Linked DNA regions of Oryctolagus cuniculus. The protein of the gene in region 3 interacts with the protein of the main gene of each other region in a biochemical or structural test. Links are inferred from orthologs where the notes say so. Each region holds a gene or a part of one and is shown on either strand. Other genes may lie near its edges. The genes, in order: PARP1, TRIB1, CEBPA, SMARCA4 and CDK2.

Region 1 (5,223 bases), on a different chromosome or scaffold from region 3:
GCCCTGCAAGGAGGCTCTGTGTGGTCAGGCAGGACATCCTGAATGCCACTCCAGGTTAGGCTGCTGGCTGGTCTGTCCTAAGAAGCCCTGCCTAGCTTCCAGAGTAAGAAAGCATTTGTCCTTAATGCCTGCTCCCTGGGTTCCGCCCTCCAGATGCGTCAGGGCAAGGGAAGAGCCCTAACCCAGGCAGGTGGGGCTTCCCAGAGGACAGGCAGAGACCCCAGGCGGCTGCTCTCAGGTCACTGTAGAATCAGGGCTCAGAGGTCGGGGCGCCCAGCCCCTGGAGGTGTACCTGCTGGAGCGGAGGGAGTCACAGAAGCGGGGGCCGAGGCTGTGGAGGGAGGGGGTGCCGCTGCTGCCGGGGCGCTGCTCTCTGGGGGGAATATGCGGTCCTGCTTTTTGATCTTCAATTTCTTGAGGTAAGAGATTTCCCGGAATTCCTGAAGAATTTAAGTTTTAGTTTTTAAGAAACTAGTTCCCTCTATAAACGACCACCTAACAGGCCAAAAGAGATCTGGCTGGTGCAAATTCAAAGATCTCTTTTTCTAATAAAGAATGTAGAATAGGAAAATGGGAGGCTTCTAGGATGAAGGATGGCAGTTCTGCCACCATGGTACTTATGGCCAGTATTTCCATTTTATGATCAAATTGGCACTGCAGCTATGTTAAAAGAAGAGTCTTTTCCTTTAAGAAAATGAAAAACAAAATGACAGTTGATGATCTGGCCAGGGAACCACTGCTGGAGCCTATAACCACCTCCCCGGCCCCACTCATTTATTTTTTCCACGAGAGGGAGGCGAGTCTCTTATTCGGTGGTTTGTTCCCCAACTGTCCGCAACAGCTGGAGCTAGGCCAGGCCACAGGCAGGAACTGGGAACTCTGTGTTGGGCTTCCACCAGATGTATGGACCCAGCCACTTGAGGCCTTACCTACTGTTTCCTAGAGTGTGCACAGGCAGGCAGGAAACTCAAACCCAGGCACTGACATGGGATGAAGGGTCTCAAGCAGTGACTTAACTGCTGCCCCCACCCCATCCTTGAATCATTCTCAAGAATGAACAGGCCTTCCTGGGGCCTCAGGTGCCCAATCTACGACCAGAAGGGCCCCAGGACCACACACATCATTACCTCTAAGTCAGAGTAACTCTTTTCCTTTTTTTACTGAACTTACAACAAAATCCCTCAACAGCAAATGGCACAGTTCACTCTCTGTCCCAGGAGATTTACAAAGGGACTTATTCTAGATGGTCACTCAATAAAAGTCAAATGCACAAAGCTCTGGGAAAGACCACAGTTCCTATGCTAAGACTTCATCCAATCAATACACAGGCCTTTCCGACGATGCCACAGTCAATGAATGCCAGTTGGATTAAAGGCTAACAAAGAGCCTCCAACATACACTGACCACCTAATACTGCCACACATCACAGGCAGGTTCAGAAGACGGTTTCTGCCCTTGAGGAGGCTCAGTCTCGACCACGTCAGATATACGATGGTAAGCCAAGTTCTAAACTTGGAGCCAAGTTCTAAACTGGAGGTGAGCTAAGGTGACAGGAAAGTGGGAATGCTGGGAGGGCACTCACAGGCCAGTGACCTGCTGAGTCTATTAGGAGCTGGAAAAGCAGGCAAGTGTCTGCTTACTACAGGAACCTAGATGGCCTACGGGGAACCCTAGGGAGCTGTCCATGGCTGGGAGTGTAAAGAGCCAAGGAGTACGGCGGGGAGAGCGATAAGGGAGGAAAAGGCGGCGGCAGGAGAGGCTGCAGAAGGCCCAGAGTCAGATCATGGAGAGATCCTGGTTCTGTCACCACAGGGACACAAGCTGGGGGCAACAATCACCGCCTGGGTCTGGGCCCGTGAATCCACACAGGCAGCAAGTGCCACCAGACTGCAGAGGTGTCATGCACCCGCACACACTCTCAGATGCGCTACTGTGGGCACATGGACTATAAACAGTCCACGCTGCTAACTGTCATCTGATTTGCTCCTTGAGAGATAGTAAACACCACACAATGGGTCTGTAAGATGCTGAAGGAAGGGAGGTGACAAGCTCAGACCTGCTCTAGCATGGACACCCAAGTGCCGAGGGGACTGGCTCAAATGTCCTCCCCGCATGGGAACACAGCAGGTGCAGCGAGCAAAGGGAGAACCGGGACCTTGCCCCAGCTCCTGCCGGCCTGAGGGCACAGGGCAGGAGCTTATCCAGCCACCAACTCTCCAACTGAGGGGTCTGCGCCCACTAAATTCCACTTGTGGTCCCTCGTATAGAGGGCACTCAGTACCTAGTGATACATGAACTCTGGACCTAACTCTCCCTCCGGCACTAAGGCAAGGAAATGCTTGTCATAAAAGCAGGAATTACTACTATCTGTTCACCATATGTCCCTCACAGTAACAGCGCACAATGGGCCCCAATAAATCAAGTAATTCATGGTCCTCACAAGCAATTGGACAAACCTTGACTCCACACTTCAGAGACGCTTTGTTTCCATATTTGTACAGTCTGCAAACATATGGAACCCATAAAATTTTATGTTCTGATCATGAGAATGGCCCAGTTGTGACAAAGTCTGCCACTGCAGTCTTGGTGACAAGCCCCACCAACAGATCCCAGAACCATCCCTCCCTGCAACAGACCCCTTACCTTTGGGGTCACCCATTCCTTCCGGTTGGGTGTCTGTGTCTTGACCATACACTTGGTCCAGGCAGTGACGTCCCCGGTACAGTAGTAAGCATCGCTCTTGAAGACCAGCTGGCCCGAGCACTCCTCGCAGGGAAGGAGGGCACCGAACACCATGCCATCAGCTACCCGGTCCAAGATCTGAAGCCAGCAATGAAATGGTCAGAGGGGAAAGGAGGCACTCCAGAGAAGACGCTGTGCAATGTGGCATGGAGAACTTGCACAGACCTCCTTCACTGCAACAGAGGCTTGCCTGGGGCTCTTGAACTTGCCCCCTGGGCAGCTGGTTTGCTAGGGGGCTTGGGTTCTTGGGTTTTCAGAGACCCATCTCTAAGTGAAGTGTTCCTTCACCTTCCCCATCCCTCAGATTGGGAAATACAGGGAGAGCCCAGAGCATGCCCTGGTCCTGCACAAGGTACCAAGGCAACCTCAACTCCAGAGGAGGAGGGCAGGGAAGAAGCAGCTGGGGAAATGCTGGGACCCTGGCATACCACCTTGCAGAAGGGTCTCTTTCCCTCCACAAGCCTTGCAGCCCCAGGGAGTTTGGGCAGAAGGCAGCTGAGAGTGCTACTCAGGCCAAAGTATGTGGTATGACCATTCAAGGCAAACATGGCCCACTCTAGCCCCCAGCAGAATTCCACAGCAAGTGTCAACATGAGAAATGTCTGGTAGGGCCTGTCCCAACTGCCCCTGGGGAAATGGTGACCACAATGGCAGTGATGACTGTACAACATGACCACCGAGGTTTTACTCCTCGCAGCTAATACCAGTAGGTGTTCAAACGGAGGGCCTCGCATATTCCATTAGGACAGTCGGCCTCACAGGCGTGTCCCGCTCTAACACTAAGGCCGCTCACCGCCGACTCCCCGGAAGGCACTTGCTGCTTGTTGAAGATGAGCAGCTCTTTCAGGTCATTGGTCGAACATACTTTCTTTAGTTCATCCTTGATGTTCCAGATCAGGTCGTTCTGGGCCTAGGGACAAGACCCAGCAGCTGAGTGAGAGGCCTCTCTTTTCAACTGAAGGAAGAGTATACCCCTGGACATGCCTGGCCTCAAGCACACACCAGAGGATTAGCTGAACTGACTCTCCCGAAAAGACGGTCTGAGCAGTAGATTTTAAGTCCTTGCCATGCTCCAGCAGGTCTCAAATTGAATATGAAGCATGGGCTCTCAAAGAGTTGTGCAAGGTGGGGAAGAAACCATTAACAAGTGTGGGGAAGGACGTAACAAAGTCACCAAAGCCCCTGGAATGCATCCCTCAGAAACCAAGCCCACAAGACACACAGGGGCCTGTAAGTGCTAAATGGCCCACATGTGTCGACCACCAATAGCCAGAGGCCAAAGGAGGTAGGGTGTGCCTGTTCTCTGTCAATCTTTTCTTATTTGAAAGGCAGAGACAGATAGACAGACACACACAAAGGATATCTACAGAGAGCCTCCATTAGCTGGTTTATTTCCCAAATGCTACCACCAGCTGGGACTGGGTCACACCAAAATAAGACTCCATCTGGGTCTCTCACATGGCTGGAAGGAACCCAAGTATGTGAGCCTAACCTGCTGCCTCCCAGGGTGCACATTAGCAGGAAGCTGGAACTGGGAGCAGAGCCAGGGCTAGAACCCAGGCACTCCAATATGGCATGTGGGTAGCCCAGGTGGTGTCTTAACTGCTTTACCAAATGTCTGCCCCTCTACCAATTTGACAGTAGGAATGATTCCGAACACTAATTTCTTAATAGTGTATCAATTCAGTACCATGCAGGGACACATTTAAGTTCTCCTGAAAAAGGACTTTTAAGTTTTTAATGTCTATGAAGGGCCTGCTCTTTGTTGTGTACTTTGACAGGTCACCTCACTTACTCTCACAAGTGCCTGGCTGGGAAGAGCATGGGCCTCCCCATCTTAGAGTGGAGGCCAGGGGGTCTCCTCTCTCTGTAGGACTCACCCTCTTGGCCTCAGATTCCCTCCATGTGAAAAAATGGAGACGAAAATGCCAACCCTATGATACCCACAGACTCACCATCAGCACCAAATGAACACTGACTCAAAGCTGCAGTCACTCACATTTGCGCCTGTTTCCCAGCTCCACTGTTAGGGACTCAACAATCTCCCCTGCCCTCCTCCTCCTCCCTCAGCACATGGTGGGACACCCTGCACTTCAAGGAAGTCCTGGGTACAAGGTCAAATGCAAGTGGAATAACTCCTGAACCTCCAACACCAGATGAGCCAGCAGAAACAGAGGTGCAAGCGTGGGGAAGCACTTTGAGTTTCTTTCTTTCCATCTCTGACAACATCAGGGAGAGAGCACAGGGACTGAAGGGCAAATGCACTATGGGCTGTGGCTCTACTGCAGCCAGATGTGATGCAGAGCGGACATTTTTATTCCCCATAACACAAATCTGTGATTCTTTTGTAAGAATCACGTGCTAATTTTCATACCACAAGCAAAACCTGAGTACTCATACCAGAGACAAGAGCACATGGCTCATGGAAATCATGGTCCTCAGAGACTGACTTCTGACTGTTTGCCCCTACTTTCTCCAACA
Region 2 (5,916 bases), on a different chromosome or scaffold from region 3:
GACATCCGCAGAGGCACCAAGGTGTCTCCAGACCCCACCCCCGAGAATGCAGAATAAACCAACCTTGGCCGTGACTCCTCAGGACTTCTACAACTACCTCTGGGACAACTGAGCCCTTGGTTTTGCTGTGCACCAACACACTGCACCCAATTGCACGACCCGTGCCTTTACTTGGGTTCCAATAGGCCACAGGAGGAGGCGCTGTGGCGGCTGCTCACCTCTCCTCCGTGGAGAAGACGAACTTCCTAAGCTTCAGGTCCCCTAGCACGATGGCCGACTGGTGGCAGTGGGCGACAGCAGAGACGATCTGCTTGAAGAGCCTGGCGGCCTCCTCTTCCCGCAGCCTCTTCCGGCTTCGCACGTAGGAGTGCATGTCCCCGAAGTCCTTCTCAAAGAAGACGTAGGCCTTGGTCTCCCCAAGGATCACTTCCACGATGCCGGTGATGTTCCTGTGTGACGGCAGCTGGATGTAAGGCCTGATTTTGTCCTGGTAGTGTTTAATGGGAAACACCTGCGGAGAGAATGGGGCGGGGTGCTTAGGGGGCTGAGAAAGGCGGAGGCTAGCTCCCAGATCCCCCAGGGAGCCGGACTGAAGTGCTCCATCTCTGGGCTTTGGGGAAGCTCTATGCATGTGGCTTCCTTATCTCTGATGCTGCCCCAGGGACCCCTAGTACCCTCACAGCCAGTGACATCTAAGGCTAGCAAGCATCCAGAGAGCTACCCCCCCCCCCATGAGCGGTTTCAAAGAACAGTCTTCTGTGCCCGCCTGTCAGTCTTCTCCAGGGACCCTGAGAGCTAAGCCCCCAGAGCTCCCACCCACTGGGGCCCTTCCCGGTTTGCAGAGCACGCGGGCAAGGGCCTGCAGGAAGTGCATGTGTCTCCTGCAAAGGCAAAGGGTTCAGCCCAGAGAAGGCACCGGCCCGTGACTCCGCAGCCTCCCAGGGGAAGCGGGGGCCACAGAGCTGTCAGAAGGAACAAATGACTTGGCTGGACAGCCTGTGACCGGGCAGCACTAAGCGACCCGCCTGCCGTGTGACTCAGGTGCAGCCAGTTCCCACAGGTGGGGTACTGGACCGTCCCAATGGTTTTTCTTTGTTCCATTGTTTGTTTAGGCCCCCTCCCACCCACCCCGCTCCAGGAACCGGCAGCATCTCCCCTAAGAAGCTGGCAGGTCTCTTTAAGGGCCCTCTGTTTAGTCCGGTTACTCATATCCTAGACTCAACTGGAAACGGTGACACACGGGCTGTCACCATCTGGATTCAGCTATTATCTGCTTGGAGGAACTGGAAGGGGTTGCACAACGACCAGACCCACCCCACCTCTGAGGCCTGGCTGCCTCCTGCTGCTGCCTCTCCGCCTCCTATCCCACCCCACAGCACACACACACACACCCGCTTTCCCCAGAACAGCTCTCAGCCCCAGTCACCGAAAAAGGTTTCTCCCCGCTTAAAAACCTGGGCTTGGTTGTACATTTGCAATTTCATAAGGGTAGGACGGTAGGTGGCAGCAGCAAGCCCTGGAGGAAGGTTGGGGGGCGGGGGCAGAGGGGCGTCAGGTGAGTTACAGAAAATCCAAGAGCAAGTTTAACTTGGGGGCGCCCAGCCCGGGTGGGCGGAAGGCGGCTCCTCAAGGGGAGCCTGCGACCGCAGTGCCAGCCTCCAGGGGCGGGGACGGCCGCGGACCCGGCGGGTTCTGCCTGTCCCAGTGCCACCTCCTCCTCCCTGCGGTGCAAATGCAAACCGCTGACCGGAAAATAAAGTGAATGGAAGCGAGGACGCCTAGCGGGCGGGGGGGGGGGGTTCCCCACTTTCCGACTCCGGGCAAATTCCCCCCGCCGCGGCTGGAAGACCCCCCGCCCCGGACCGGCCCTGGGCAGGGCGGTGTTCGCGTGCCAGCGCGGGCTCCCGTCGGAATCCCCAGGGCACGGGCCGGCCCAGGTCTTCCCAGCCGCAGCGGAGCCCCGGCGAGGGGGCGGCCGGCTGCTCCCGGCTCCGAGCAGGCACCCACTGCGGGGCGTCCTTCCAGGGCAAGGGCGGGCGGGCGGGGCGGCGAGGAGAATGAGAGAAGGGGAATGGCATGGCCCTGGAATCCATTGCAATTCCACAACTTATATGGGAACGCCACGCGCTAAACTCAGCGCCAAGCAAGGACTATAAAGCAATTGAACCCTGCACTTCCGCTTGCCTGCGAATCCCCCCTTTACACCTCTCTCCAAAAGGGTGAACTCGGTCAATGGCCGCCTGGTCGGGCTCCCCGCACCAACCCGCCCTGCCCCCAAGCCCCCCGCGTCGGAGGGACGTCGGGCACCGCGTCCCGCGCCCCCGATCCCCCCGCCGGGTGCTCCCCGGGGCGCCTACCTTGCAGCGCAGCTCGCGGCCGGTGTGGATGCACAGCGCCCGGGACACATGCTCGCGCTCGGCTAGGGGCAGTAGCAGGTAGTCCGCGATGCGGCTGGGCCCCGGCGCGCTCCCGGAGCTGCCGCCGGCTCCCGGCGCGGCGGGCAGGGGCTGCGGGCTGCACGGCGAGCCGGGGGGGCTGAGGTAGTCCGGGGGGCTTGGGCACTCGGAGAGTCGCGGGCACTTGGCCGCCGCCGCCACCGCCGCCGCCGCGTCGTCCGCATCCAGCAGCCGTTTGGTCGGGGTGCCCCGAGCGGCCGGGAGCAGCAGGGCCGGGCCCCGGGGTTGCGAGGCGCCGCTCATGGAAGAGCGCACGGGACCGGCCCGCATCCCGTCCCCGGCCGGGGCGGTCCCGGCTTTGTAAGTCCCCGGATCCGCGCAGGAAGGCGCTGCGGGCTCGGCGAGGGCGCCGCGACTTCTTCCAGCCCGCGGGATGGAGTTTGCAGAGCGGGCTTGGCTCGGCCCCCACAGGGGCCACAGCGGGAGTGGCTGCTCGGCGCTGTCGGGTGCACACGCGGAGACCACGCTGGCTCAGCGGCCGGGGGGCGGAGGCCGGCTCAGGTCCTCGGACCCCCGCGGCCGCCGACTTGGGGCCCCCTCGCAGGGGGCGGCCGCCGCTATTGTTGCCGAGGCTGCCGACCGTCCCAGAGGCGGCGGCGGCCTGCGTTCCCGGGGTCCCGGGCCACGAGCACAGGATTCCGCGGGCTGCGCAGAGCCGCGGAGCCAATGCACGTCCCGGAGCAATCAAAGCCGGAGCAACTTTTCCGCGGCGCCCGGGGGTCCTGCGCGCGCTCCTGGACTGCGGGCGTGTGCGAGCGGGCGCGACGCGCTCGGAGAGAGTGACTGAGTGTGAGTGAGTGTGTGCGCCGCGCCGATCCCGGCCAGCGCACTCCTCCTTCTCCTTTTCCTCCACCTCCTCCGCCTCCCGGTGACTCACGCTGTATACACACACACACTCACAGGCCGGCCTGTGTAAACAGTTGGGGAGCCGGGTTGTGCAATGAGGTGGCCGCGACGACTCCGGCTCCGCCACCCGGCGAGCAGTCCCCGGAGCGGAGGGAGGAGACTGGGGGGGAGGGGCAGGAGGCTGGGGGGCGGGGGGTGGCCCGCGGGCCTGGGATGCTCGGAGCGGCGCGCGCTCGGGCGCAGGTGGTGCGTCCCGGGCCGCCCGGAGCGCGCGCACTCGGCCCCCGGGCTGGGCAGGGCAGGAGGCGGCGCGCGCCCTCCTTGCAGGCCCCCGGCTCCGCGCGAGCGGCCGAAGGAGGGGGCGGAGGAAAAGTTCCCGTGACGTCAGGGTCTCGGGGAAGTGGGCGGGAGGGCGGGGCCTCGGGGGGCGAAGCGGCCGCTGATTGGTGCGCGCGCCTCATTCACAGCGAGCACAATGGGCCGCGGGCACGCGCGGCGCGGTTCTCTGCACCCGCCGCTCGCTGCGGTCCCGCGGTTACGCCTTTGGCCCCGGGGATCCCCCCGCAGCCCAGCACCTGGGGAGCTCCGGTTGGAGCCGTGGGCGGCCAGGCTGCAGCCAGAGGAGAGGGGTGGGGGTGCGGAGGGAGCCTGGGGAGGGTGATGAGTTCCAGAGACAGTCATTCACCCCCACGCGGTAGTTCCGGGGAAGACCTGTGCGTGGTAGTGGATGTGGCTCCCCCCTCCCTTTTCCTGCCTCCTCCCAGCTCTAATCCCCAGCGTCTGTTCGCTTCCACAAATAGAACCTTCTGTTGGACGAAACGAAAGCAAACACGGGGCCTTCTGCGCCGCCTCCACCTCCTCGCCGCCCGGGTTGCACGGAAATAGCTTCTCCAGGCTCCCGGGCCGCCCCTTCGCGGTGACTCGCAGAAAGAGCTTCCTGAGCCGGGCGGGTGGGAAACAAAGGATGTGGGAGCGGGCGGAAGGGGCCCACGTGGCCGCGGCCGCCGGATCCCTGCCCCTCCCCGGGCCTCCGCACGCGCCGCGGAGTCTGGGGCGCGGGTGCCAGCCTGGGCATCGGGGTAGGTGGTGTGGAGGAGGCGGGGCAGTCATTGCGGCCACGGCCCCGCGGACGCTGCAGAGTGCTTAGGGTGAGCGCAAAGTGTGCGCCAGACCCTGCGCCGAGCTCCGTGAAAACAGCTCGGAATCGGAACCTGGTCAGTTTGGAGCCCCTGAACGCCCAAGGCAGGCGACCTTGAACTTCTGCTAAATCGTTAACTTTCTAAAACCAGGTAGAGCCCTAGGAATACATCCATTTCCTTATTAATTCTCCGTGCATTCAACAAACACTAAGCGTCTACTAAGGGCTAGGCGCTGGGGATTAATAGATGAAAATTAAAGCAGCAATAACAGCTCGAATTAGATGCGGCCTCCAGGGTGGGAGTCCCTGTGCCTAGCGTGGAACCTGTGGGACCACCACCACCTCCTCTAGTCCACGTCACGGAGGAAAACACTGAGACCCAGAAAGATGGGGAAATAGCTCACCAGTGGTGGAGCAATTGAGCACTTAACATCATTGGGGACCCAACAGAGAGATGGCAATTTGTAGGGGAAAAGAGGCATTAGGGAGGACTCAGAAGACCCTTGAGCTGGGGTCCAGTGGGACTGTGTGAGCGTTGCTCAGGTCCGGGTGGCTGTGAACAGTGCTGGTGGCCAGCCCAGGCAGGGGTGTAGGGAAGAGCCGGGTTGGCTGCAAGGGTGGTGGGGAGCTGAGCCAGCCCAGGCCGTCTGAGAGGTCGAAGGGAGGGCTCCAGCAGCACGCTTCGTTCTGTGGCCAGGAGGGAGCCCACCTATGCTCTTGGTCTTTCAGGGTTATTTTGTGCAGGAACTTAAGAGGCACTGAGCTGCCAGCTGCATGGCGTAGTTGGTGTGGTCCAGGGGCATCTTCCTCCAAGGTGTGTACCTTGTCTTCCTCTTCTCTGGGAATGGCACCCCTACCATTCACCAAGCCCCCGCCCACCCCCCAGGGCCAGACTTCTCCCTGGGGTCTGCTTTTCCCCCTCTCCGACAGTGGTCACTGGGTCCACCAGACCTGTTTGCCCCCAGGGCCATCCCCTCCCTGCCTCCCCTGCACAGCCCCCAGGGGTTGACCCTCGAAAGCTCTGTTTCCCAGGCCCTCTTGCCCACTGGCTTCCAGCCCAAGTTGCCGGGTGCAGGGCGCTGGAGGGAGCTTGGCAGGTGGGAGAGCGAGTGTGGCCAGGCCGCTTTGTCTCACTCTTCGCGTGGGGCAGCTGGCTGCCGCTCCTGTGTGGATCCAGTCGCTCTGGGCGGCGGCTGCGGTGCGCTGCCCACGTGCCCTCTCAGGACCAAAGGACTTCTCCTGCCGGCTCTGGACACGCGCATCAGGAGCCCTCCGGAAATGGCCTTGACTCGGAGCCACCTTGCCCAAGGTCATGCTGCCTCCCCATAGGGCCCACATCCGCTGCTGTTGATGGCAGAATAAAGGTTGGGTCCTTTTGCAGCGACTTGGGCCCCCTCTGAAGGGCACCCAGCTCCACCTCCCCCCAGTCCTGCTTTGTCTCTCTTCCCTTCAGGGCAAGCCCCCCGTAAGCCTCCC
Region 3 (5,691 bases):
GGGGCTGCCCCTCTTCGTCTGCTGCCACTGCTACAAGGTGGTGCTGGTGGCTTGTGCTCGGAGTGAGATGCTCACCAGGACTCAGCCTCTTGCTTGTGGGGTGACAGGGAGACTGGATGCTGGACACCCCTGCAGGCATGCTGTGTCCCTGCCCCGCTATGCCTACCTAAGAGCCTGGGGCCCAGCAAAGGGGGCTGGGCTGGATGGCAGGAGCTCAGCTTTCCGGGTGCCCTTTTCGGCATCGTGGGGACAGGTTGCAGTCTCGTGGTCCGGAGACAGTTGGAGGGTCCAGGCACTTGGTCCAGGGGGAGCGGAGGAGGGTCCTACCAGACAAGGCTTCTTTCAGCCAGCCCCTCGCTCTGCGGGGAGCCTGGGGCAACGCTGAGTGAGAGCAGGGCTGCTCTGAGTACTGGGAGTGATTTGGAAATGAGCATCCCCAGAGGGCCCCTGGAGCCTGGAGCTGCTGGCTGGGCCTGCACCCAGGGAAGAGGGCTCCCAGAGTCCCTTTTCTTCTCCCAGGGGCAAATGAGGGGCCACGGTGAGGCCTCTGCCCTGTACCCCCCACCCCCACCCCCCCACAAGCCTCCCACTCCCACCCCAGGAGACTGTCTTTGGCTCTGGGCATTCTCAGCTTGGAGCCTGTTTATTTGTCTGGGTTGGGGGAAGTCAGTCACCCTCCTAAGGGAAATAGGGGTTCAGGATGGACGGGGTACTAATGGAAGCCAGGGCACCGGCCAGGGACAGCGCTGTGAGTATTTGCCAATGTGACCTGGCCCGAAGCAAAGCTTGCAGGCAGCTTCCTCCTGCTTTTAAAGAGACACCAAGATTGACTTTGATACGTTTATATTATAGACATAATACATAAAACTTCTAGCATGAAACTCATGTTCTCCCCAGAGGAAGAGAACCAAGTCTTCCTGCTGTGCTGCCGGCCCCAGCGACGTGCACGCCCTGGCCAGAGGCCACTGCCCTTCCAGACCAGGAGCCCCGGGCCTCAGGGCTGGGGCTCACAGCTGCAGCCAGGGAGAACCCGGGGAAGGGGGGAGGGGACGCCCACCTCACCTCATTGGTCCCCGGGAGCAAAAGCAACCCCCAAACCAGAAGGAAAGAGGACCTCAGAGCCTTCCCCCAGCGGCCAACCAAGAGTCTCATTTTGGCAAGTATCTGAGCAAAACCAAACCAAAACAAAAACCAAATACAATGGTGGTGGAGCGTAGACGTGCACACGGACACTGCACAAGGCAGCGCCGGGACGGAGAGAGGCTAGATACAAGATATCGGCTGATAAAGCAGAATATTTGGAAAGTTTGTCATGGCCCGGGTCCCTCTGGGATGGGCTGACTGCACTTCATGTCCGCACGGTACAGACAAGGCTGGGCCCCCGGTCCCTGCACCCCGCACCGCACCCCACTACCAGATCTCCAGGTTCTTCCGCCAAGCCACCACTCCCTCCAACACCCGTCCTGGCTGGGTGGTCTGAATGGGGTTGGAGGGGCTCCTTGAAACCTGATGACCCCCGTCTCAGTAAGCGCTGCTCCGGGAAGCCAAGCCTGCTGCAGGCTATGGGAGGGGTAGGTGAGGAACTAGGGACCCTTCAACTTCATTATAACTAGGGGAACCACCTTAGGCTCAGAGCCCCAAGTCCCCATGTTTGCTCCCCTCTGAGGGCCGACGCTGAGGTCTGGCTAGGACTGGTTGCTCCCTGTACACTCCTCCCGTCCCGGGCCTGCCCCCTCTCACGGGGGCCGCTGCTGTCCCAGGGGCGGCAGAAACCCTCCAAGTAAAATGACAAGGCACGTATTTGCTCCCCCTACTCGGTAGGAACTGGAGCAGCGAGTTTGCATTTCCAAGGCACACGGTTACTCCTGAATACCGGAGTTTGCCGGGCTCCAGCTCAGCCCCCGGAGAACTCTTCCTCTCCCGCGGGAAGAAACCACTGCCGGGTCCCCTCGTCTCAACACGCACCAAGTCCGGCGCGGAGGGAGGGGGAGGCGTCCAGCGGGCCGGGCTTTTGGTCGGCACCGGAATCTCCTAGTCCTGGCTTGCACGGCCCGGTGAGGGGAGGGCGGCGGCCTGGAGACCTGGGGACCCGAAATCACTCCCCAGGTGCACCCCAAGCCCCCAGCCAAGAGCCGGCCCAGGGCAGTCCCGCCTCCGCGCGCGCCTCACGCGCAGTTGCCCATGGCCTTGACCAAGGAGCTCTCCGGAAGCTGGCGGAAGATGCCCCGCAGGGTGTCCAGTTCGCGGCTCAGCTGTTCCACCCGCTTGCGCAGGCGGTCATTGTCACTGGTCAGCTCCAGCACCTTCTGCTGCGTCTCCACGTTGCGCTGCTTGGCCTTGTCGCGGCTCTTGCGCACCGCGATGTTGTTGCGTTCCCGCCGCACCCGGTACTCGTTGCTGTTCTTGTCCACCGACTTCTTGGCCTTACCCGAGCCGCTGCCGCCGCCCGCGCGGGGATCGGGGTGCCCAGCCGCCAGCCCCTTGAGCGCGCCGCCTGGACCCGGCAGGCCCGCAGCGCCGAGCGCGGGGGCCGGGTGTGGGCTGGGCACGGGCGTAGGCGGTGGCGTGGGGTGGCCGGGCTGCAGGTGCATGGTGGTCTGGCCGCAGTGCGCGATCTGGAACTGCAGGTGCGGGGCGGCCAGGTGCGCGGGGGGCGGGTGCGGGTGCGCCGGCGGCGGCGGCGGCGGCGGTTGGTAGGGGAAGAGGCCGGCCAGCGCCAGCTGCTTCGCTTCGTCCTCCTCCCGGGGCTCCTGCTTGATCACCAGCGGCCGCAGCGTCGGCGCCCCGACGCGCTCGTACAGAGGCTCCAGTCTGCCGTCCAGGTAGCCGGCCGCCGCGCAGCCGTAGCCGGCGGGCGGGCCGTGCGCGCCCCCGGGCATGACGGCGCCGCCGGGGCCCACGGGGGCGCCCGGGTAGTCAAAGTCGCCGCCGCCGCCCGCCGGGGCCGCGGCCGCGGCCGCGGCCGCCTTGGCCTTCTCCTGCTGCCGGCTGTGCTGGAACAGGTCGGCCAGGAACTCGTCGTTGAAGGCGGCCGGGTCGATGTAGGCGCTGATGTCGATGGACGTCTCGTGTTCGCAGATGCCGCCCAGGGGCTCCGGGGCGGCAGGTGGGGCTGGGGGCTGCGTGGGGCCCGCGCCCCGGGGAAAGCCGAAGGCGGCGCTGCTGGGCGCGTGCGGGGGGCTCTGGAGGTGACTGCTCATCAGGGGCCGCGGCTCCGCCTCGTAGAAGTCGGCCGACTCCATGGGGGAGCTAGAGTTCTCCCGGCATGGCGAGCCTCGGCGGCCTCCAGCCTGCGCGGGGCGCCGCTGCCGCCGCCCGCCCGCCCGGAGTCCCTGCTCGCCCGCGCCCGCGCTGCTCCGGGTCGCGAATGGCCAGGCCTGCGCCGGCCGCGCATTTATACCGGGGCGGCCGTCGCCCCCTACTGTCCAAGCCGGCCTCGGACGGCCGTCGCGACGGGCGGCGCCTCCGGGTCTTAGCGCCGGCCTTGCGGAAGGGGGCGGTGAGCCGAGCCCGAGCGCGACGCCCAAAGACAGAGGCGGTGGCGCGGCGCCCGCTGCTTTCTGCGCCGCGAGCCAGCGGCTGGCGTCCCCGTGCACACGTGGTCGGTAGCGGAACCTCCTCCTCTGGTCTCCCCAAGGCACCGGCGGCTTCCAGCCCAGGGCCGATCGGGGGCCCGGGAGCATCCACCAGAGGCCGCGCGGGGGGCTCGGTGGAAAGGGGGAGTTTTGGACTTGCGCGGTCGCAGCTCACGCTTGCATTGGAAACTAGAGCCTCGCCTGTGGTGCCGGACCCGGGTCCCTGGGAATCCGTGGCGCTGAGGGGCAGGGCAGGGGGCCGGCCGCGGACTGATTCGGACGCTGCGGACTGATTCGGACGCTCCGCACTGCTCACATCTCTGTGCGCCAAGGCCCGGGGCGCGGGGTCCCGAGGTCATTCGTGTCCCATCTCCAGGTGACCCCCACTGATTCCGTGTAGCAGCACCTCTATCCCCAACCCTGACGCCCCTACTACTGCAGGCTCCCACGGGCGTGGCGAGCAGGGCGCTAGGACCCCGCGGGGGAGCAGAGGCGCCGCGGCGCCGCGGCCCGGGAGCCTGGTGGACCCAACCGGTCGATTCGCCCAGGCTAGAAAACTTTCTTTTTAATAACTTCTCCAGGCCGGAGCGCAGGGTTGCTAGGCGCGCGGGCTGGCGCAGCTACCTGGCGCGGAGCTGCCAAGTGTTGGCCTGCGGGCGGAGCGCGAGTGCTCCCTGGACGAGCCGAGCTGGCCACTGCGCGAGCGCGGGGCCGGGGGTAGCCGCGGAGGGAGAAGGTGAACTTGACTCCAGGTCCAGGACCAAGACCGCGAAGGGGACTCGCAGCCCACGAGCCCCACAGCCACTTCTTTCCCTCCTTCCCCTCCCCATCCCGCACTCCCCGTTCAGGTGAGCGTCCAGGCGGGGGCGGGGATGTCGTAGGAGCGGAGGCCTCCGGGTGCGAGCACGCACTGCCCCGGAGAGCTCCGCCAGCTGGGATCGTAGGCGCCGAGGCGGTCAGGCCCGGGGCCTCTGGGGCGCAGCGCCGCCTCCGCGCTCACTGCCGCGGGTGGGGAGGAGGTTTCGGCAGAGGCTCCCCCGCCACGTGGCGTCCGGCGCCTTCCGTAACGCGGATCGCAGCTGCGGAGCGCAGCAGCCAGGGGCCTCGTGGGCCCGCCAGTGAGTGCCTCCCGCCTCCACCCACGCCTTCTCTCGTGACTTCTTGCGTGGAGGCCGGACGCCCTGTGGGTGCCTCGCCGGGCTGCGCAGGGCAAGACCCCAGCGCCCCGGCCGCGCTCAGCCTGGCCAGGCGCCCGCCACGGTCCGCCTGGGAGCGTCCAAGGAGGCACCGCGGGAAACGCGGCCGGGGAGGCCCAGGCTTCCACTGTGGTCCGCAGCCAAGAAGCGATCCCGTCTGGGGAGCGCATTCCGCGCTTTAATCAAGGTCTTATTCAACAGATCCCCAATGATGAACGGCCCGCCTGCTCCGTGTTCGGACCGGAGCTCATAAACAAGATATTTTTAGCTTTGCGTTCTTGGACTGGGAGGGTAAAAGCAGATACCGTAAGCCAGTCACCTGATGCGGGCTGCAGAGCCCTTTCCCGGCCTGTGCGAGACCCGTGAATGCACGGTGCACCTGTGCTGGGAGACCCGGAGGGACACCCAGAAACACCCACAGGGATTGTCATTTTCTCTGTTTCCCTAGCACAGGAACAAAGAAAGGGCTCCGGATAGGGTCCTGTTCCCGCACAGATGCGGGAGCCGGGGAGACCCCAGCCTCACGCCCAGAGCTTCCGGAGCCGGGCTGCTTCTCTTTGGGTTGGAGGAAACAGAAGCAGGGGGCAAATACCTCCTCCGAGAAGGGACGCAGGAGGGTGTGGGGGTGACAGAGGTGGTGCGCGGGGCTCTCAGGCCGCCTGCTCTGCATAAGGTGTCCAGAGAGGAGGGAGCAGCGGCTCCCCGCCCCTTGTAGCTCAGAGCCCAGTCAGGGTCTTCACTGGATCTGCTGGAAGAAAGAGCTGGCAAAGGAGGAGCCGCAGCAGGAGCAGGAGTAGGGCATGGACTTCACTAATTCCCCAGATGTGCTAGGAGACACCGCTGGGCAGCCAGGGTGGGGGTGCTGTGGCAAAGGGACTTCATGTGCCCCGGGAGATGCTGCGGACTGAATTGGGTACCCG
Region 4 (5,223 bases), on a different chromosome or scaffold from region 3:
TGACGGCTCTGCTGTCCTACAGGCCTGGGCCTAGGCTCGTGCCCTTGTCTCAAAGGCTCCCTTCTTGGCCCTGGAGCATTCTGGGGGGCAGGGGAGAGGAGACGCTAGATGTGCACCCACGTCTCACTTGCGGCCCTGGCGCACAGCACGGCGGGCGAGCTCTGGTTGGGAGCCCCGAGCAGGGCTGTGTGGCTCCTTTTTATAGCCTTTCCGGCAGTGCTGTTCAGGGCCAGACAACGACTGCCAGGCAGGACTCTGCGGACAGCCCCCAAGGCGGGGAGGGGGCTGAGTGGTCGCTCAGTGCTGCTGCCTGGAAGGCCGAGTCAGGAGGGCCCACAGGCGCTGCCCACTGCCCAGCCACCTGCAGCTGCTGGGCCCAAGCTCGCAGGGCCGCTGGCTCGGGCCTGCAGGAGCCTACACCCTTCTTCAGCTCCCCGGCCAGGGAGGAGTCCCACTCGCAGAGTGGACTGCCCATATGGGGCTACAGGCCCCCTGCCGAGTTAGCACCCTCCTCCCCCGACCCTGAGGGCCCCGGATGCTGTGCCGCTTGTCATCACCTCTTGTGGACTGACAGGTGCCTGGCCAGCCCCTAGCTGAGGTGGGTAGTACACTCCTGAGCCCGGGAACAGGTGGACCCTGGCGCTGACTGCACCACACGTCCCCATAGCAGGGGTCTTCCCACATCAGCAGGGAGGTGGAGGACCCGAGCATCCCTGGCCCACACCAGAGGCCTCAAAGGCCATCACGCAGCACGGCCAAGATCGGCGGAAGGAACCTCTCAGGTCTGGGGCTGAGGCACGCACCTGGGCAGCCGGGCCCAGCTCTGTGCAGCCCGGCCGAGCGGCGCGGGCTGCAGCCCTCTCCAGCATGTACCTTGAGCCACTGCTTCTCGGTGAGAGAGTCGCTGTAGTCCACCTCCTTGCGGTGGCGGGAGCCGCGGCCGAACATCTTCTCCTCCTCCTCCTCGCAGGTCAGCCGCTCCACCTCGGCGTCGTCCTTGATGATCCAGGACGGCAGCTCGTCCTCCTCCATGAGCCGCGGCTTCCGCTTGGGGTTGCGGGCTTCCTCCCGCCTGCGGTCCAGGTCCATGCGCTGCAGAGCCGGGCGGCGGGGCAGACAGGGTGGCGTCAGCACGGGAGCCCTGGCCACATTCCAGGGTGCGCTCACTGGGCAGTGGGGGGCACTGGAGGCTCACGGGGGCCACTTCCCTGCCCTCAAGGCCACGGCTGCCATGGGCTAAGTTAAGCAGCAGCTCAGGTCTGGTGGTGGCTGGCCCGGCCTGATGGCTCTGACAGACCCTGGCTTGGGGCTCTGCCTTGGGCACAAAGACGCTGGAGAAGGTGGGAAGGCCGCAGGGGCGGGGCAGGACGGGTTGGGGACGGCACAAGCCGCGGGGGCCGAGAGGCCTGCTCCAGCTGCGAGCCGTCGCCAGGGCCGGGGTGGTTCTGAGCCCAGGTCCTGCAGCCCTGGACCGCGGGCGGTGCTAACCTAGAGCAGAGGCCCTGGGTGCTGCCAGCGGGTGGGCTCTGGGGGATGGGCACTTGGTGGAGCCAAGGGGCTCCATGAACACAGGAGAGCATGTGCCTCCCTGTCCCTGTGGCCTACGAGTCCAGGCACCAACGCGTGGGCCACCCCGCCAGAGGCCCCGTCACTAGGCCTGCAGGCTGCGCCTGTCACCAGCCCCGCGGGGCACTCACCATGAACAGGTCGAACTCCTCCTCGTGCCGGGCGATCATCTGGTTGACTGTCTCGTCGTCGGGCACCTCGTCTTCTTCCTACAAGACGGCAAACCTTTAGTCTGGGTGTGGAGGGGCCGGGCTGGGCGGCATCCGTGGGCGACGAGCTGGAGGTCCTAGAGTGGCTGCGGTGGATGGGGACCCACGCGGCAGCGAGAGGCACACACGCACACGCACACGCACGCTCCGTGGGGTCAGGGCCCTTGCTGGCCTCTCCGCCGGCGAGCCGAGGATTGAATGGGCGTGGAGACTGAACTACCCCTCTCACCTTTAGAGGTGGCTCCTCCAAGTCGGGGTTGACGCCCGCTGGCGGAGGGGCAGTGTGGGCGAAGCTGGCACTGCCGCTGCCCGTGCTGCAGTGTCTGCTCTGTGGATAAATAGAGGACTTCAGTCTCCAGGGCTGCCAGTCCGGCGTCTGTCACCAGCAGTTCAGAAAAAAAAACCACTTCAAAGAAAAAGCAAGTACTCATCCTCTTTCCGTTCAGCCCACACTCCCTTTACTCCAAAGGGATGCAAAAAAATAAAAAAATAAAAAAATAAAAAAAAAATAAAAAATGCAAAAAAGGTGGAAAAACGAAACTGCGAGCCGCTCACGCGTCCACACTCACGCGGGGAGGGGGGCGTGGGGCTCACCTCGTCCTGCTCCTCGTGCTCCAGGATGGCCTGCAGGAAGGCGCGGCGCTCGTGGCTCGAGGACTTCTGGTCAAACATGCCGGCCTGGATCACCTTCTGGTCCACGTTGAGCTTGTACTTGGCCGCGGCCAGGATCTTCTCCTCCACGCTGTTCACCGTGCAGAGGCGCAGCACGCGCACCTCGTTCTGCTGCCCGATGCGGTGCGCCCGGTCCTGCGCTTGCAGGTCCTGCGGGAGCGGGCGCCCATCAGTCGGATGCACAGCGGGGCCTTCGCGTTCCGGGGGCTGCCCCCGCCTGGCCCAAGCCCCACCCCTGAGCAGCGGCTGCGTGAGCTGGGGGCTCACAATGGAAGGCAGCCTGCCCGCCGTCCTGGGGGGCGAGAGGCCCGAGTTCTTCCACAACTGTCACGTTCACCCTTCCCGGCTGGTGCCATTCCAGGGGACACACCGAGTTGTGTCCTCAGGCACACAAGTCCTCAGCGTGGCCACGCACCAGGACAGGGCAGTGCCACACAGCACCCTAGTGGGGCCTGGCTTGGTGTGGGCCCTGCCGCCTCCTTACTGTGCAAGCCGGCTCCGAGCCCAGGCTTTCTTTTTTTGGACAGGCAGAGTTATAGACAGTGAGAGAGAGACAGAGAAAGGTCTTCCTTCTGCTGGTTCACCCCCTAAATGGCCACCATGGCCAGCGCTGCACCAAGCCGGGAGCCAGGTGCTTCTCCTGGTCTCCCATGCGGGTGCAGGGTCCAAGCACTTGGGCCATTCTCCACTGCACACAGCAGTGGCCACAGCAGAGAGCTGGACTGGAAGAGGGGGACTGGGACTAGAACCAGAGCCCATTTGGGATGCTGGCGCCACAGGTGGAGGATTAACCAGGTGAGCCGTGGCGCCAGCCCCGCCCAAGCTTTCTGAGACTCAGAACACAGTGCAGATGGAGGCCCCTCAGGCAGACACTGTGCCGGTGACCCGAGTGAAGGGGTTTCTGCCCAGCACAGTGGTTGGTGGGCCAGCCCCCGTGGAGGGGCAGCCGTGACGGAGACACGTCCATCACTATCTGAAGTTCAGTGAGCAGGCTCTCTCACAGTCCCGCCTCTGGGCCAGGCTATGGACCGGGGCAGCAGCTGGTGGGGACGGCCATGACCCTGGCCTGCGGGGGCCTCTGTGCCCGACAGTGGTGGCAGGCTCCACAGGGTCCACGCCTGCGGCAGGGAGGCACAGCCCAGTCCCCTGCTCGCAGGCATCCATCTGACCATGAGGCCGGGGCTGCCAGGCGACGGGTGGGAAGTGCACACTCTCGCCTGTCAGTGGGCGTGGCACAAACAACCAGGATGTGTAGACGATGCCGCAGGCACAGCAACGCCCTCCCTGGGCCTGGGCACTGAGTGCGCTGGGCTCCAGCGAGGGAGCCAGGCCTGGTGGTCACGCCGAGAAAGAGAACCAGAGCCAGGCAATTGGCGTGAGCGGAGCCGGCACTGACCAGCTGGGGACAGCCATCAACGGGCGTGAGCGGAGCCGGCACTGACCGGCTGGGGACAGCCATCAATGGGCGTGAGCGGAGCCGGCACTGACCGGCTGGGGACAGCCAGGCAATGGGCGTGAGGGGAGCCGGCACTGACCGGCTGGGAGAGCCCTGTGTGCTCCATCAGGGGCTGCCAGGGGCCAGGACGCGAGGCGCCGGGGTGGCGGGCGGCACCTCTGCGCGTGCAGTCAGGCACGGGCAGAGGCTCAGAGAGTGCAGGACGGCTGAGCAAGGCCAGCAGTGCCCTTCCCCTCGCGCTCCCATGTTGAGTAAAACGTGTTACAGTGGAATCCGGGGCAAGACGGCCCCTCCTTATAAACAGGCGGTGCTGGCTCTGCGGACCCAAGGCCAGGGACATGGTGAAGGAGACGAGCAGGCGGGGAGCACAGCTCGCGGGTGCACTCTCAGAGCGAGCCCACTTCTGTCTCAGTGACGCAGCCCCAGACATTTTTAGGATTACAAGGGCACACACCACTTGCCTCTTCGAGGCAAAAGGGGGCTCTAGAGGATAGCGGCCGCCTTCAGGAAGTGTGCGGCGGCTCTCACAGAGGACACCCTGGGCGCCAGGGCAGCCCACAGGTGGCGACGTGGACGTGGACGCTGTTCCCTGCCCCCGGCCCCGCGCCCGCACCTGGTGGGGGTTCCAGTCGCTGTCGAAGATGATCACAGTGTCCGCCGACTGCAGGTTGAGCCCCAGGCCCCCGGCGCGGGTGCTGAGCAGGAAGATGAAGTACTCGGAGCCGGGCTCATTGAAGGTCTTCAGCAGCATGCCCCGGTCCTCCGCCTTGGTGGTTCCTGCCGGCACAGGACCACAGCTCAGCAGGCAGGAGAGACACACAGCCCCGGCTACACCCGCTCTGTGTGGGCCACCAGCGAGTGCCCACCTCCTTCCCCCAGGGCAGGAGAGACACACAGCCCTGGCGACGCCCTCTCCGTGTGGCCACCAGCGGGTGCCCACCTCCTTACCCCAGGGCAGGGAGAGACACACAGCCCCGGCTATGCCCTTTCTGTGGGCCACCAGTGGGTGCCCCCCTCCTTCCCCCAGGGCAGGAGAGACACACAGCCCCGGCTACGCCCTCTCTGTGTGGGCCACCAGCAGGTGCCCACCTCCTTCCCCCAGGGCAGGAGAGACACACAGCCCCGGCTACGCCCTGTGGGCCACCAGTGGGTGCCCACCTCCTTCCCCCAGGGCAGGAGAGAGACACAGCCCCGGCTACGCCCTCTCTGTGGGCCACCAGTGGGTGCCCACCTCCTTCCCCCAGGGCAGGAGAGACACACAGCCCCAGCTACGCCCTCTCCATGTGGCCACCAGCGGGTGCCCACCTCCTTCCCCCAGGC
Region 5 (5,415 bases), on a different chromosome or scaffold from region 3:
TAAGACCTGGTCCTGATCTTCCTGGGACTGGGAGTCCTACCAGCAAAAATAGCTTGTAACTACAAAATAACATAGTAAAGACTTTAGTGGAGCTCTGTGGGCAAAGAGCAAACTGATGTGCTTGTTGTGATTGAACAACAATCCCCTCTCTTCCCCCTGTCAGAGCTATCTGTTCCAGCTGCTCCAAGGCCTAGCGTTCTGCCATTCTCATCGGGTCCTGCACCGAGATCTAAAACCTCAGAATCTACTTATCAATGCAGAGGGCTCCATCAAGTTAGCCGACTTTGGACTAGCCAGAGCCTTTGGAGTGCCTGTTCGTACTTACACCCACGAGGTGAGTCCACAAACCCCTCCACCCCCCGCCTTGCTTTTCTTCTCTGAGCTCCCCAGGAGGGGTTAACAAGGGCATTCACAAAGTTACTAGAAATATTTGGCCAACAGTTTCTCTTACTATATGAAAAGAATCTCTGAGACCCTAAGGGGTCTTAGGGTATGCACACAGTTCCTTCTGTGGTGCTAACTGGGATTTTTCTTTTTAAAGGTTAATTCTACTTATTTGAAAGGTGGAGAGACAGAGAAAGAGAGATCTTGCACCTCTTGGTTCACTCCCCAAATGGACACAACAGCCAGAGCTGGGTCAGGCTCCTGCGTGGGTGGGCCATCATTCACTGCTTTTCTAGGCACATTAACAGACAGCTGGATCAGAAGTGGAGCAGCTAAGACTTGAACCAGCACTCCCATGTGAGATGCAGTTGTCGCTGGCAATGGGCTTTTCCTAAGCCAGGACAGCTGGATGGGACACCACTAAAATTAGGACCATTTGTCGCAAGTTTTCCAGGAAAGTCCCAGCTTGGAGGTTCAGAAGATATGGCCCCTATGTGGACTAGGCTAACTCTGAGCTAAGAAGTTGTGTGTAATCGCTTCTCACAGGGAGATCAGAGGAGGGGGAGGATGGAGGAGAGAAACATCTTGTTTTAAGGCTAAGAGTTAGCAGAGTGGAGCTGAGAGGTGAGGGCCCTGGAAGCCAGCTCTCATTCCTCTTCTTGTCTCCCAGGTGGTGACCCTGTGGTACCGAGCCCCTGAGATCCTCCTGGGCTGCAAATACTACTCCACAGCCGTGGACATCTGGAGCCTGGGCTGCATCTTTGCCGAGATGGTACGGAGGCTTGTCCCAAGTTCCACCCAGCCCGTTCCTCCCCACGTCTAAGAACAACAGGACTGTTTCTTGGCCTGGGCCCGTGGCCCTTCTTTCAAAGGGTTCTCTCCAGCAGCATCAAGGCGGGTGTGGGGAAAGGATAGGACGTGGCCCCCGAGCAGGCTTAGTGTCCCTCTTCACCCTGAAATGGGTAAATCATTTGTGCAGCTGTTTTACTGTTGGTCTGCGTATATTAGAGGGAATGCCTTCCAGGGAGCCGCTCCTTCATTTGGCCGGTAGACTTCATTTGCCAGGAATGGAGTAAGCCAACCGGGATCCCTTTACCCACACCCTTCACACAATCTGCAGGCTTCAATCACGTCCCCTCCCCCCTATCTCCCCATAACGGAACCGTGGAGTAGGCCGAATCTTCCAATCCAGCAGCAATAAGTTTTATGGTCCTTTACGTGGGTTGCCACTGGGGACTAGGAGACAATAGCCTATACATCGTCCCCAGTGCATTACCTTGCAGTTGCCCATATTCTGCTCTCAATTCATTAAAAAATATCTGTTAAGCACCTAGTGTGTGCCCAGCACCATGCTGGGTGCTGTGGGGAACACAGAAGAAATGGAAGACACAGTCTCTGCCCGCTGTGCTCCTATCTAGAAGTGGCCGCATCCCAAGGAGGGGGGATGACCGCAGTGTCTACCCCACATCCCGTGAGTGGCTTGGGATCCCTTTGCTACGTGTCAGCGGCACCCCAGACATTCAGCCCCTCCCAGCCCCACCCAGCCTTGGGGGTCTGTAAAGCCATGGATGGGGGAAGGAAGGAGGGGTGAGGAGCCAGATGAAGGGACTTCATTGTCTCAGGCTGTGTGTGACTGACCCCATGGCAGGCCCTGGGGAGGGAGTCATGGGGCCCTGCTGACCTTCCACTGCCTGTGGGAACCTCTTCTGTGCGGGGGACAGCTGTGACTGACGTCAGTGTGGGTCTTTGCCTCCCCTCCCCCTTTTCAGGTGACCCGCCGGGCCCTGTTCCCTGGTGATTCTGAGATTGACCAGCTCTTCCGGATCTTCCGGACTCTGGGGACCCCAGATGAGGTGGTTTGGCCAGGAGTTACTTCAATGCCCGATTACAAGCCGAGTTTCCCCAAGTGGGCCCGGCAGGATTTTAGCAAAGTCGTGCCTCCCCTGGATGAAGATGGACGGAGCTTGTTATCGGTGAGAGTGGGCATCTGTTTCCCCTTGCTCGTGCCCTGTCCGCGGGAAGGGCTTGCCTACGATGGAGGAAGATGAGCCCCTGACCCGGGGGTCTCCGCCTTTGCACTTCTCTCCCCGTCGGCTGGCTCAGAGAGGGGAGGGGGGCAGTGAGAACTCTGTCTTGGGAACCAGGAGTCCTGGTTTCCTGATTTCACTGAAGTCCGCATCCGTCTCTCCCTCCAGCAAATGTTGCACTATGACCCCAACAAGCGGATTTCGGCAAAGGCAGCTCTGGCTCACCCCTTCTTCCAGGATGTGACCAAGCCAGTACCCCATCTCCGACTCTGACATCGTGGCCCAAGTTCCTCGCCCCCCCCCCCCCGCCCCGGGTGTCACCCACTCCTCCCAGTATGGGCTTGATCCGGCGTGGCCCTCCCCGCTGTTTGGGCGCAGGTGGAGGCCCTCTGATCCTGTCCGGCAACTGTGACACTCCCCTGCCCCTGCTGGCCTGCCGACGCTGGGCACAGAAGGGTTGAGGGAGGAATGGGTGAGAATGAGAGGAAGTTGCAGTGTTCCGTGCACTTACGTCAGTGTCCACCACCCGCTCCCCTCCTCATAGTCCTTGCTGAGAAGGGCTCGTCTTGGAAAATACCAGAGCTGACTGTTCTCTCCCAGACTCTGAATGCCCCATAATTATTATCCCATGTGTTTGGGCCCCCAAGCCTCCTGTGGCCACTAGTTTTGTAAAGGTCAACTACTAACAGGGTTGGCTAAGCTGGAACTTTGGAGAAAGGAGCAGGAAGAACACCACAGGGAGGAAGTGTTCTTAAAGAATTCAGTTAAAACCACTCGTGGGTTGCTGTTTCACCTCACCTGACAAGTGGGCAGACCCAAGACTAGGCCCCGGGGGGGCCTGCAGGAGAAATGGCAGCCCCTAGCCCCTCTGTCTGCCCCGGCTGTGGGCCAGAGGACTTGAAGGCTCTTAACACAGGCACTGTGCCTCCCTCCCATCCATTCTCCACGGCCTTAGAGGCAGGTGAGAGAGTTTGGATTTTTCTCTGCCCTCGGGATTCTTAGTTGTTCAGCTACCATGGATCCCTGCTCCTGTCTTTTCTGAGGGCCACCCCTGCCCCCTAGGAGAGGAAGTTAGGGTTTAGACATCCTTTTGAGAATGCTGACACTTCCAGGGATGACATTGGGAAAATATATTTCTTTAAAAGAAGGATGAACAATTATATTTATATTTCAGGTTATGGTTTTTAAACAGGAGCGGGTGGATTTTTTGCCATGTGCACCTTGGGGTTTTGTAATGGAAATGTTAAAAATGTTTTCCTTTTTTTATCATTCTGGCTCTTTTTCTTCCACCTCTTGAACTTGAGTGCCCTTACTATTAACGTTATTTGTAATTTAGTTTGTAATTCATTAAAAAAAAAAAGTTCCTAGTTTTGTAGTTATTTTGTTCCTCCTATTATTCACGGGAAGAATGGTGTGAGAGAGACCAGGCAGGCGAAATTGTGGTGACTGGTTTTAGGCCTCTCTAGGCAGGGATACCCTCTCACTCTGTTTTGGTCTCTAAGATGCACTTGGAATTGGGATAGGACCCAGGGTGAGTAACGTGGGTATTAGACCCATTTTACAGCCAGGGAAGCTGAGGCCCTGTCATTTCCTCCTTCACTTTCCCCACACAGCAAGTCCTACCTCCCCCCACCCCACCACCCCCACACACACAGCGACCATTCCAGAATCTGCAGTAGGGTTGGAAGTAGGTTCCAGAAGAATCCATCCACCTGTACACCGCCTTTCCCAGTAAGCCGCGTTGATTTTCCTTTCTGTTGCTTATCACACACGGCAGAGTTTCTGAAGATTATCTTATTCACATTTACATACAATTCAAAAAATACCCACTGAGTATAGAAAATTACTACCACGGCGTCTCCAGCTACTGCTTTTTGTAGTTGCCATTGTCTCCATCAAAAAAACATCTCAGATCGCCCGCAGGCCACGCCGAAAACGCACGTCCTCTGAACCCTCGCTAAAAGGAAGAGCGCTGAGGCGCGTCTCTCAAATTCCCAGGCGCCGGGTCCCCTCAGAGGTATTTCCCTTTACGCCCGCGAATTTGTCATAGAGGGCGGGGCCCCGAGTCAGCCCCCGCCAAATCCAGGGGGAGGAGCGAAGGTCAGTAACGGCCTCCCTCAGGCTTCCTTCAACCCCGCCTTGCCTGCCAGTCAAGTCCCGAATTTCCGCAGCACTGGCTAAAGTCTCACTTGGACCCGCCTCCATCACTCACCTGATTAGATGTTTATGAGTCAAAAGGCGGGGGTCATGGGGTGTCGAGGTTTTATTGGCTGGTACGCACGTCTATCAACGACGTACCGCCCCCTGTCTCCGGGAGCTCGCTCTTTAACGGCCCATCACCTCGTCCGTCTTCCAGGTTTCTCTCCCTGTATTGGCTTATGACCCTGCCTGTCCAGTCCCTTGCTCGTACTCGTTGGCGACAACACCCCAAGAGTCCCGCCTTTCTCCAGAGGATTGGCGGATGAGTGCACATACAGCCCACCCTCGATGGTAGGCGGGTAATCATGCTATTGGCTGGGGCCCCCGCCCCAGGGCGAGGAGGAGGAGGAGGGGCAGGAGGTTTGGTTGAGTTGCAGCTGTTTGTCTGTTCGACACAGGCTTGGGCCCGACGGGGGAGACGGAGCCCCAGGTACCGAGCTGATGGAGCCCACAAGGGCAGAGGCAGAGGCGCCGGGAGATGAGAGCGGCCTGGCCTGAGAGCGCAGTCGGGTCTGGGCCTAGGCGAGGGGTTAGAGAGTGGCCCAGTGGAGAGGGGAGAAGGGGGCCGGGCCCCGGCAGGCCTAGTGGGGGCGCTGAGGAGGGGACCGGGCGGGCTGGGAGGCTGAAGTTGGGGAGGCGGCTGGATCCCGGCGGCCGGGAGCCGGAGGCCGTGCGAGGGTAGGGGAAGGCCTCATTACTCATGGAGAGGGAGGAGCTGGGGAAAGGGACGGGGCAGCGGGTGAGGTAAGCCCATTTGCCTGGCGGTGAGAAGGGGTCAGAGCTGACGCCCGGGCCCCGGGGGTAG

Evidence for each region.
Region 1: the proteins of CEBPA (region 3) and PARP1 form a complex in vitro, tested with the Homo sapiens proteins (2 studies listed by BioGRID, with this or other methods). The link is inferred for Oryctolagus cuniculus from reciprocal best matches to the Homo sapiens genes CEBPA and PARP1.
Region 2: the proteins of CEBPA (region 3) and TRIB1 form a complex in vitro, tested with the Homo sapiens proteins (2 studies listed by BioGRID and IntAct, with this or other methods). The link is inferred for Oryctolagus cuniculus from reciprocal best matches to the Homo sapiens genes CEBPA and TRIB1.
Region 4: the proteins of CEBPA (region 3) and SMARCA4 form a complex in vitro, tested with the Homo sapiens proteins (2 studies listed by BioGRID, with this or other methods). The link is inferred for Oryctolagus cuniculus from reciprocal best matches to the Homo sapiens genes CEBPA and SMARCA4.
Region 5: the proteins of CEBPA (region 3) and CDK2 form a complex in vitro, tested with the Homo sapiens proteins (2 studies listed by BioGRID, with this or other methods). The link is inferred for Oryctolagus cuniculus from reciprocal best matches to the Homo sapiens genes CEBPA and CDK2.

What each region holds. Positions count from the first base shown.
Region 1 is NC_091444.1:39,041,490-39,046,712, reverse strand, and holds part of PARP1 (poly [ADP-ribose] polymerase 1), read right to left. Parts: intron 3,653-5,223; coding exon 3,536-3,652; intron 2,821-3,535; coding exon 2,644-2,820; intron 441-2,643; coding exon 293-440; intron 1-292. UniProt on the Homo sapiens protein: Poly-ADP-ribosyltransferase that mediates poly-ADP-ribosylation of proteins and plays a key role in DNA repair.
Region 2 is NC_091437.1:151,042,703-151,048,618, reverse strand, and holds the start of TRIB1 (tribbles homolog 1), read right to left. Parts: upstream 3,471-5,916; 5' UTR 2,727-3,470; coding exon 2,358-2,726; intron 512-2,357; coding exon 219-511; intron 1-218. UniProt on the Homo sapiens protein: Adapter protein involved in protein degradation by interacting with COP1 ubiquitin ligase. The COP1-binding motif is masked by autoinhibitory interactions with the protein kinase domain.
Region 3 is NC_091449.1:21,472,187-21,477,877, forward strand, and holds CEBPA (CCAAT/enhancer-binding protein alpha), read right to left. Parts: upstream 3,384-5,691; 5' UTR 3,243-3,383; coding exon 2,166-3,242; 3' UTR 827-2,165; downstream 1-826. UniProt on the Homo sapiens protein: Transcription factor that coordinates proliferation arrest and the differentiation of myeloid progenitors, adipocytes, hepatocytes, and cells of the lung and the placenta.
Region 4 is NC_091447.1:66,602,658-66,607,880, forward strand, and holds part of SMARCA4 (transcription activator BRG1), read right to left. Parts: intron 4,681-5,223; coding exon 4,517-4,680; intron 2,598-4,516; coding exon 2,370-2,597; intron 2,104-2,369; coding exon 2,005-2,103; intron 1,776-2,004; coding exon 1,698-1,775; intron 1,093-1,697; coding exon 874-1,092; intron 1-873. UniProt on the Homo sapiens protein: ATPase involved in transcriptional activation and repression of select genes by chromatin remodeling (alteration of DNA-nucleosome topology).
Region 5 is NC_091442.1:58,759,762-58,765,176, forward strand, and holds the end of CDK2 (cyclin-dependent kinase 2), read left to right. Parts: intron 1-163; coding exon 164-334; intron 335-1,054; coding exon 1,055-1,156; intron 1,157-1,711; coding exon 1,712-1,855; intron 1,856-2,153; coding exon 2,154-2,357; intron 2,358-2,579; coding exon 2,580-2,684; 3' UTR 2,685-3,778; downstream 3,779-5,415. Other genes in the region: RAB5B (ras-related protein Rab-5B), read left to right, coding at 4,916-5,040. UniProt on the Homo sapiens protein: Serine/threonine-protein kinase involved in the control of the cell cycle; essential for meiosis, but dispensable for mitosis. Phosphorylates CABLES1, CTNNB1, CDK2AP2, ERCC6, NBN, USP37, p53/TP53, NPM1, CDK7, RB1, BRCA2, MYC, NPAT, EZH2.